2 linked regions of the Coturnix japonica genome follow. The main gene of each other region encodes a partner of the protein of the gene in region 2 in a complex. Links are inferred from orthologs where the notes say so. Each region holds a gene or a part of one and is shown on either strand. Other genes may lie near its edges.

Region 1 (5,231 bases), on a different chromosome or scaffold from region 2:
GATATTCACTCGGATACATACCTGCTTTTCTTCAGTGAATAAACAGCACGGTATCAGCTGAAAGGGATCAAAGGAACTATAAAACGAAAGAGAATTTCTCTAAAGATGTAGGACAGTCAGGAAACTTTCCTAGTTTCCCACTGTCTCCTCAGTACAAGAAGAAGAGGATTTCTTCACTGCATGCCTTTCATCTCATACTCCCACCAAATACAGAAGTTCACCTCCCACACTTTTGAATTGCAGCATTAAACATCCGAAATGCCACATGTTAACTCTGCCCACGATACCTAGTACTAATTTGAAGCGTTCCAGCCCGATGCCATGCAAACCAATTGTTTTATTTCTAGAAGACCCATTTTGGAACAGGATGTACATCAAATACCTTTTTATTTGTCTTGAACCTTTAGAAGGTTTTGCAGGCTTCAGTTTTTCTTCTTCTCTTCTTCTTGCTAATTCTTCAGCAGACAGATGCTAAAAATCAATTGCAAAAGTCTGTCTCAACATCTTGAATGAATCCTTGACATCACTACCCTCCTTATATACCCCCAGTTGCTGTCTTATAGGATTATGGTGCAGTATCAAAGTATGCGTAAATGCAAGTTCATCGATTAAGGATAAAATCTTCCACTGCAATCAGTGGCCACAATTTTTATAGCACGTTTTCAGGGATTTTTCTATAACTAAAAATAAAGGCTCCTGAAGTTTTATACAAGATGAGGCAAAGAGCTTTGTAGGTGTAGAGCTGTGTAGATCCATCCATGCTCACAGCACAAACACCTTTTGCAAACACCAAAGTACAGTCATTTATCAGCAGATGTAACAGCTGCAGGATTTATTGTAACAGCAAGCAATCCCACCTGCTAGCAATTATCAATAATCACATATGTAAACGAATGTTCAAGACCAGGTTACCTCAAACGTCTGCCCTTCCAAATCCTTTGCATCACACCAGTTTCCCCAGGGGTCTCGGACTCGCCGTCTTCTTGTACGCTGCAAAAATAAAATCAACACAAATCAAGGATCAAACTCGTGCAAAAAACAGCCTTTGCTGTGTTTCATCGGCTGGAAGAACATCATCCAAAAGATTACTGCCACATGAGCTTTCCCAACACTGTAACATACATCCAGAAAAGAGAAAACCCCCTGGAGTTCTACAGGATTGAGTAATTCACAATCTGTCACCAAATACCACCAGTGATGTTTTCAGGTTCTTAAGGTTGTAAAGAACACCAGGATGATGTTCTGTAGAACATCAGCATCCCTGAGAGCAACAGCAAACTATTATCCAACTGTGAATTATAGCACAGACAATGCAAAAGCCATCAGCCAGTATGTGTGTGCCCTGTGTAAGCTACTGCTCTTCATATGAAGCTTTTTTTCTTTTAATGGGATTGATCTTGTTTTCCTCTCATCAACCGACTTATTTTACCATGAAGTACTTCAAAATGCTACATTAAATGTAAACATGAACATTAATCTGGCAAACCTTGGTAATTCATCTAATTATGAATGAGTTACTACTGTACTTAATTGCACGCGTAAGACTCTCAGTAAGTCATATCACATACCCAGTATACTTAATGATTATAACACAAGCAACTTAACCTCACTCTATTGATACACTCCGCTGTTTTCTGACTAATTTGGACTAATAGATGATGGGGTGCTGGGGAGGAAGGGGTTGGGATTCTAGGAAAAAAGACCATAATAAATCTCAGTTAAGTAGCTGGGCAATTAACGTGCAAGAGAATAGAATAAAACAGATACCAGTAAAAATCCAATACTGCTTAAACTGATACCTGAACTGAAGGGCACTCGAATGAAACTGCAAACTGAACAAGAGAAGGAGTTTCCTGAGATGGCCTGGCTTGAAAACACCTGCATGTCACTTTTTCACCACCCCGCTCTCTTCCCCCTGACCTCCAAAACGTACCATGGACTGCAAACGCTGAGCAAGCTGGTAGGCTTCCACCGTGTCTTTGCCTTCCTTGGACCGTGTTTTATCAGCTGGTTGTGGTCTGTTATAGACAGCCTGTTCTACAGGAAATAGAAGAGACATACACTGTGCTTCAGGTCATCTTGATAAGCGATTACATAGTCATTATTCTTTATTTCATTAATTTCAACATTTGTATGATGTCAAAATAAAAAGGGCAGCCTTGAGGGTTTAGACTGTTTGATTTACCAAATGCTTATGGTTCAATATGGGGAAGCAGGAAAAGAAACACATCCATTCTTCACATGAACATATTCATTCTAATAAAAGAGCTGACGACCATTAGCTGGTCTCAGCACACACTGACTAAAATTTAAGTTCGAAATCAACTTCTAATAAAAGTATTTATTTATTTATTTTACCACAGCCAAAGTTAATTGCTCCTATTAATTCCAAGTACGTGTGGATACGTCCAATACAGTTAACATCCCCACAGTTCTTAAGGCCCGGACGTACTGAGGTCTTATTCAGGTATTTGGGTTTACATCTCTCCCTACAATAAAACAGAACAACACATCATACAATAGAAAACAAGTCACTGCGCAGATGGAGATGAGACAGTAAAGTGTTTTAGCCCGATGCAAACACTACACACTGCTGTGCAGAGCAACCACAGCAAAAACACAGGTTTCACAAAGTATATGCAATTTATTTTAGGGTTATTCATACACACTCACAGTCATGCAGTGTGAAGCTCATGTTCCATGCCTTAAAACAAACTCTTCTACATGATATGCCAGGAAGCACTGAATTACTCTGAAATACTGTGATTCTTTTAAACTGAACTCAGAATGTCTGCATTAGATTCCTCTGAATAACTCATAATCATATGCATCCTCAGTGTAACAAACAAGCCTGCTTTCACTCCACTTGCTCTTAAGCTGATACTGAGTTATTTGAGCTTAATACCTTTCCAATATGCAATGTCAGAGTTTCTTTGTTGCCAGAATAAGCTGTTAGCACAGAGACCACTCAGTGAGAACCCACTAAAATTTGCTAATTCTTCCTACTAAGAAGTAAAGTAACCCAGCCAACGAGCACATAAACCACAACTGCAACAAACCAGATGTTCAGCCTGCAACCACAAACATTAAAGGTTCTTTAAACTGAATTTTTGGAGATGGAATATAGAATATTCAGATGTACAAGCACGGCTCAACATTGATTCTTTATGTGAAATACCGTTAGGTCAACATTATTTTCTCTAGTGCAGAATGTTTGTTCCAGCTGCTCTACTGCATGGGCACTACCACAGCTATCAATAAAGAATTAAAGTTTTTTGAAGAGACATTTATCAAGAATATCTCAGGATTCTTATATAGTTTATGACAAAGACAGAAGAAAAGAAGCACAATAAAACCAGAAGGGGTTTATTCTGATATATATAGGACAAAAACTTCCATAACGCTTCAAAAAGCACCTTCACTGCTCAGCTTCCAGAAGGCCAGAACTGCGAAGAGGTGAAAGAAGCACCACCACTCAGTGCCATTCGTTGCTTCTTTAGGATATTACTGCAAAATTACTTCTACTCTTTACAAAACCTGTTTGTGCTGTTTTTACTACAGCAAAGCAGGGCAAGAGAGATTTTAATGACTTAATGAAAGAAGGAAAACGAATATATCTTACCACTGATCCAAAATGTAATTCCTAATCTTCAAGTAACGCTCTGGTGTTTTGGCCTGGCGCCCTTCAAAGAACTCAGGAATAGCTTGCTTCTCTTCGTCCAGAATGATGCTTCTATCAATCTCCACTTCTTGATCAGGTGGCTTAAGAGCTTCTGCTTCTTCTTGATGATCTTCATCCACTTGGCAGGTGGGATGAAAAAGCAGCCCATTATCAGCCAGGTCTCTCTGTTCCTCATTAAGCTCCTGGTCAGTTGTTTCCCAAGCACCATGAGATGCTCCTGTTCCACCCTGTCCAGCTTTCTCTATAAAATCACTGCACTGCTGGTAATCCAAGTTTACAGGTTTATCACCATTCACGTGCTGAGAACATGTTGCTGCAACATCCTGAAACAGTAACGTGTTCACTGTGGGTTGCTTAGTATTCTGAGGGTCTTCTTCCAGCAAAGAAACAGCAGAACTATGTCCGACATTTGGTAAAGGATGCTCTGCTCCTTTTGTTTCTTCAGCTGGACTTTCTGAAATTGCAGATAATTCGGATTTTCCAACATCTTGCTGGCAAGCAGGAGAAAAGAGTTCATCCATGTCATCAGTTATATCTACTTCTTCATCATCTGACAGCTTTTCAATTTTCACTGCATTCAGGTTAGGGTCTGCACGGCCTCTCAAGCTTCCAGCTGACCATGCTTCTACCCTTACTCCATCCTCAGACGGAAGGCTGCCACCACACTGACTTTGCTCTTCTCTTTCAGAACCATCATTTTTTGCCTAGGAAAGCATAAGATACATTAAAAAGAGGAAAAAAACTGCTTCCCAGACAATCAGAACTATTTTACTTGACCAGCAGACAGACGTTCAGAGGGAGGTGTTAGGCTGACAAAGCAATAAAAATACCAAAATCATACAAAGCAAACTAACTTGACAACAATACTTGAAATATTCTGTTTACCTTGTTCTTAAAGTACTGCCTGGCATAGCTCTTCACTTGTAGAACAGTACGACTCCCAATCAACTTGGCAATTTTTGTCCAGCGGCGGCCAAATTTCACCTAGAGCAACAAAGCAAACCTGAGTTACCCAGTCTCCAACATTCCAAACATTCCAGTTCATACTCACAAAGTGTTTAAAAGCTCAGTTTTGCATTACAAACACACAAACAGTACAGCCGAACCCAAGAACCTCAATAATCACATTGCAACAAGGAATGCATCGCATCCAACAGTAAGAAGTGTTGCTATTCCTAATAATACGAGCTGCAGGATTTCACTTTCATCACTCATCCTATGCATTCTATACTTAAAGCACACTTAAGACAGCAGTGTGACTGTGCAGTTACAAGTACACAAGTAGAAACAGCTAAGCACAACGTGTTTATTTATGATTAGTTTATTATTTAAGATAAATTAATGGCCTATTCAAACAATTACACATCAATGCATTCATACCAGCCCTTGTTCAAATAGTTCTTTTTCTTCTGATGTCCACTTCAATGAGTTGCTGCCTGGTTTTGTAGGAGATCGCACCCTATGAACAGGAAGGAAATGAGATGATGGTTTCTTAAGCATATCATCCCAAACCCCAGTGACTGAAGACAACTCCTGACAAGAGCAACAC
Region 2 (5,231 bases):
TTAAAGATCACACACAAAACAGTATCCATATTTCCATATTTCTTACTCCAGCCTCAAACTGAATTAAAACATGTTTATTTTTCCCAAGAGTTTGCAGTGATATCCCTGTGTGAACATTTGTTCTTTCTCACTTATCTGCTGCTAGGGGTCATCTTACTTAGAAAGGAATGTGGGAAGGCCAAAATTAAGAAATAGTCAACTGAACTCTGCAAATATTGAGACACCCGAAGGGTAACAGAAGAAAGTGTGCTTTATGTGTGCAACCCCAGTAAGGCAACGTGAGGAGTCCAAGTTGGAAAGGTTAATTGAGAATCACAACAAATATTTGCAACTCCTGTAGCACATTTGAATGCTTCAGTTTAATTAAAACACCTTTTATGAATTATATAGACATAGAATAAACATACCAACAGCAAGCTCTGTTACTGTTCATATAAAACACTTTGAGTGCTTTTTTTATATACTACTGTGTCCATGGAAATGTTAACCTTATGAATTCAGAGTCTCATAAATTCAAATATAATTCAAGTACTAAAAGTTGTCACAGGCTTTCACACAGTTTCTGCTTGTTCATCTTCTAGAAACTCTAAATTAACCCACATCTCAGCATTAACAATTTCAACTGAAAAACATATAGCTACAGCACCATCTAAAGGCAATATCCTGAACTAAATACTCCCACTTAGATTTACCTGTAATCCTGGAGAAGAAGAGCAGAATCTCCTGTATATTTATAGTGCTTTACATTCTCTCAACATTACAGATCAACACTGAGAACATTATGCACACTGTACTCAAAAATAAGTATGCAAAACAGTGTATGCTTATTTTGAGTTGTGAAACTATACCTAATTTATTCGATATAACTAATTTTCATTGAAGCTGTTTAACATCACAAAGAGACTGAGCATATATTACAAACACATGTAAGCTACACTTAATTCAGCCAACCATGATGCGTTATGCCACACTGAAAGGCAGTTGCTGAAGAAAAGGGTGAATAATCCAAGAGTGGAAGAAAAATTACCATTATTTTTGTGTTGAGGAATGTGTCTTTTTTCTTAGAAAAATAGTCCCACTATTATTCTGATGATTTTAAATCTGTCCTATTATTTAGGTTTTCTATGGTACATTCAGAATCACTGTATCTATCAAATTTGATTTCTGTTTGGTAGCACAATATATTCAATGAGACCACAAAATTAGGAGTATATACGGTGGTAAATGGAATTCATATGCATTTAATAAACTCTAGTGGAGAGTTAATTTTACCTTGACTTGCTCATTGGAAGTCACAGCACAGAAAACGATCTCTGTAAATCCTTGGGAAGGGAACATTCGGAAGCAGATACCACCAATAACACGACCATCTTTTATTAATGCAAGAGTCTTGTGTTTCCTGAGTAGACAAAAATAACATTCATTTTAATTCATGTACATAGTACATAATGTGCCATTACTTTCCTTTTTTCAGAAACTTGATTCACTTCTTTCCATGGTGCCACTGCAATTGTATATGCCTCTGTTAAGATATCTGTACCTACCGAAGAGTTTTTCTTAACATCATGCTTTGAGTTTACCATAAAATTCATCATTATGCAGCATGTCCTAGCCTTGCCAAGTACTCCTACATACTAGAGTACTTCTATTAATAAGATTTATATTACTTTTGTTGACTATATTACTGACAGTTGTGCCATTGCATAGTTCTCAGTATGATCTTAGCCTGCCTAAATTAGAAATTAATGGAGTTACAGGACAGCAAGTCCTTCCTAAGGGATTCCTGTTTCCTTGCATGTACTCTGAATAGCTGTGCTATCAGTTTCCAACACAGCTGATCAAGCAATAAATGATATTTCATATTTCTAATCTAATTCCTAGTAAAATGGAGACCAGAATAAATATCCATTTCTGTTGCACTTGCACTGACTGCCGGGAAAGATAAAGCAAGGTGCAATCTGAACTCTCACATCAAGCACCAAAATTTTAGCATCATCCTCAAGGTCTGGAAAGATTTACAATGCAGCTGTTCTCTAGCTTATTCAGTACACAGTATAATATAAACTGTATAAACAGTACTGTAAATTCAGAGAAGATGTCTTTGATGTGAAGGAAAGTTGGTGCCAAAATGAGCCTCTTCCAAAAAAAGGTCAGTCTGAAAAGTATTTTAAATGTTAGTGTTGAAGTAGAATTTATATATTGTACATATTCTTTTTTTTTTTTTCTTTATTTTAGTATTTTTAATTTGTAGAAAGACAGCAGTGTATAGTAGCTTGTGTTTTTAATTTTGTTTCTTCAAAACAAAATTGTTTGTTCTCTTGTTGGAAAAAGATTTACTAAGGATGACCACTTTGGAAATAAGAACAAAATAGATCATAATTATATTAATGGCTGAAAAGTCTTTGGAAGAGAACAGTTAGACTGCACTTTTTCCTATCAACTTATTAGAAGAGTCTTTGCTAATAAAGAAGGGCCTAGAGAAATGTGGGAGGAGGCTATGGCACAAGACTACTGCTTCAAAATTTACTCAGATGTTTGGTTATTGTGAAACCTGAACTTCAACCAGTAGCTTCTGCTTGAGTTCACAGTGCTGCTAAGACACCAAACTTCAGAAAATTTCTCAGTGCTGCCTCTCCCTCCAAATCGAGCAGCATTTACCCTCTCATAGGAGAAGAAAAAGAGTCCAGACTCGTGCTGGTCCTCACAAGAACCTTGCTGGTCCCTTCTGAAGAACACAGGAAAAAGTTCCACGGTTGGTCTCCTGTGCTTGGAGACTGAAGTTTTGTCCGCTTGTCCCAGAACTGGGTGGCCTGAGCTTCAGAGATTGCACAGAGCATGCAGCAGCAGAGCTTGCTGGCACTGAGAAAGTAGTGCAGAGGGAAGTGCTAGCAAGTCTAAAAGCAGAGGAAATCATTCCAGAAGTGTTTTCCTAACTGCTACAGCAATAATAGCAGACATGAAGACAGTGGCTCATATCACTGGTGGTGGAGGTAGGCTCTACCACTAACCAGGCTAGGCAGACATCTAGATCAGCTCAAGCAAAGCTCCATTTGTGGTATCTACTGACATGTAGCAAAGAGTCCACAAGCACACTACACTGTGAAGTGCTGCAGTTAATATTGTAGACCCCTAAATCTTCAATGGACATGGGTTGTACACAGGCAGAAATCTGGGGAAAGCACATTGGTTGGAAGTAGACTCTGTAAGAAGTGCAACAGTCTAAAAATAGACACTTCTGAGCAAAAGGTAAAGAAAATGTCAGGGCAACAAATTGTCTTAATGTATTGATCAATAAGAAGATTGACACCTGACAGCCTTGAAACTCTAAAGGCAATGAGTGCTGTAAACAGAAGAAAAACATCCGTGTAATAGAACAGCTAAGCAGAAGACAAAAGTCAGAATGGGCAGAGCGTAAATATCCATGAATGTAGAGAAAACCCTTTTTCTCCTGCTTAAACACAATTCATCAGTTCACTAGGGTGGATGAAGACAACATGCAACCTGTGGATGTTGCTATAGCAAATATATCTCTTTAAAAGTGCCTGTGGTGTAGATTTGTACCTAAAGCAAGGCAGGAAACGTGCACGTATAAAGAGAAAGGCAATGTACTCCTGTGAGCAGTGATTTTAAGCATTCTCCCCATGTTGACTTAGATGCTATTCTTCATAAATTCTGCAAGTTCTTCTCACTGAAAAGCCTTCAATCTCTGCTGCCATTTGGTTTTCAAACTCCAAAAACAGAGGATAGAGCAGTCTGCAAGTTAGTATGGGCCCAGAGGCCACTAATGAACACCAGAATTATTTTCAGAATTTTGGTTCTAACATTCATAAGAATAACATAAGGGTAGCAGGGGTAGAGTTCCTCTCTACAGTATCTGGGCTGGCCCATTCTAAAATCACTGTCTGCAACAAGCAATGTGCTCTCTTCATCCCAATCATGAAACTCCTCTCCAGCCATACTCACGGATCAAAAACCAAGCGTGTGATGTACTCCTTTGGCATCCGAGGGAGCTGATGGGAGAACACATTCTGCAAACCAACCAGCCACATCATGATCTTCTTGTTTGGCTTCTGGTTCAGGGAGTTCCCAACCACGTGGAATTCAATTACCCCCCTGCGCTCCTCCAGTCTTGCTGCCTCATCCCGAGCAGAATGTGCTGAGAGGAAGTTGGTCTGTACGAAAGAGGAACACAATCACATTGTGTATATTTCACATCCTCTGCTGGAAAAACCTTAAGAAACTAACAAACCCTGCTCCTTTCCCAAGCCATGTTTTATACAAAAATTGAGCTGTCAATGATTTCTCTCTTTTTTTCTTTTTTTTTTTAAAGCAGAAATGACAACATCAAATAAGCAGATATAAAATCTATGCTACGGTATACTAAGGCATAAATAGTAATGGATTTGCCTACATGTGTTGCAGACCAGAGATTTTAATGGCTTTGGAGGCACAGCTTTATTTTTTCATTTTAGCAGTGCTTTCCACCACCTACATTACTATCATAAAAGAAAAAAAGAAAAAAAAAAATTTTAATTCCTACTATTTTTGTCGTTATATATCTAGCAACTGCATATGTATGTTTGCACAGAGATTAAATTCATATAGACGTTTAAACTTTTATCAAGATCCTTTCACAATGCCAAAAGATTCCTGCATGTTCATACTGTTTACTTTTTGAAAAGATGTTTGGCTGCTGAATTTCTAGTCATTGCCAGCCCCAACATCCAGACTGCAAATATGCAAAGCCATCAGTCACAGTATACATGTTGAGCAAGAAATGTAGGTGGTTCCAAACCTTCAGCACTCTCTAGCTAAATCTTGGCAAACAAGAGCTGCTTGCAAAACATAGCCTGGCAAAGAGAACAGAAGGAGGAAAAGGCAGCCAAAAAAAAAAAAAAAAAAAGTGTGCAATTCTGCAATTCTGTTTGTTTTTCTCTTACAGGAGAAAAAAAAGAGCAACTGTGGAAGAAGGAGCAACTAAGTGTTTAGATCAGCTCTTCTGCACTAGATAGAAGATTTAAATTTGGGTCTTTAATCCTTCTGTGGGACTTGAACATATTTTGCCTCATCTGACGTGATGCATCTATGATTAACAATAAAAAGTGTACTCTGGAATCATCCTACTAAAGAATTGCCTTACAAAATAACCTCAAAGCTTCTTCATTATTATAGTTTCATATCTCTTTGCAAACAGCACACAAAGCATTAAAAATTTTTAGAACTATTCATCA

Evidence for each region. The genes of interacting proteins can lie anywhere in the genome.
Region 1: KAT2B (region 2) and MYSM1 share a complex: the UniProt entries of both Homo sapiens proteins name them as parts of the large chromatin remodeling complex. The link is inferred for Coturnix japonica from reciprocal best matches to the Homo sapiens genes KAT2B and MYSM1.

The regions. Positions count from the first base shown.
Region 1 is NC_029523.1:23,571,567-23,576,797, forward strand, and holds part of MYSM1 (histone H2A deubiquitinase MYSM1), read right to left. Parts: intron 5,142-5,231; coding exon 5,063-5,141; intron 4,667-5,062; coding exon 4,568-4,666; intron 4,387-4,567; coding exon 3,623-4,386; intron 2,490-3,622; coding exon 2,359-2,489; intron 2,038-2,358; coding exon 1,934-2,037; intron 991-1,933; coding exon 913-990; intron 472-912; coding exon 383-471; intron 77-382; coding exon 22-76; intron 1-21. UniProt on the Homo sapiens protein: Metalloprotease with deubiquitinase activity that plays important regulator roles in hematopoietic stem cell function, blood cell production and immune response.
Region 2 is NC_029517.1:32,876,795-32,882,025, reverse strand, and holds part of KAT2B (histone acetyltransferase KAT2B), read right to left. Parts: intron 4,173-5,231; coding exon 3,964-4,172; intron 1,400-3,963; coding exon 1,273-1,399; intron 1-1,272. UniProt on the Homo sapiens protein: Functions as a histone acetyltransferase (HAT) to promote transcriptional activation. Has significant histone acetyltransferase activity with core histones (H3 and H4), and also with nucleosome core particles.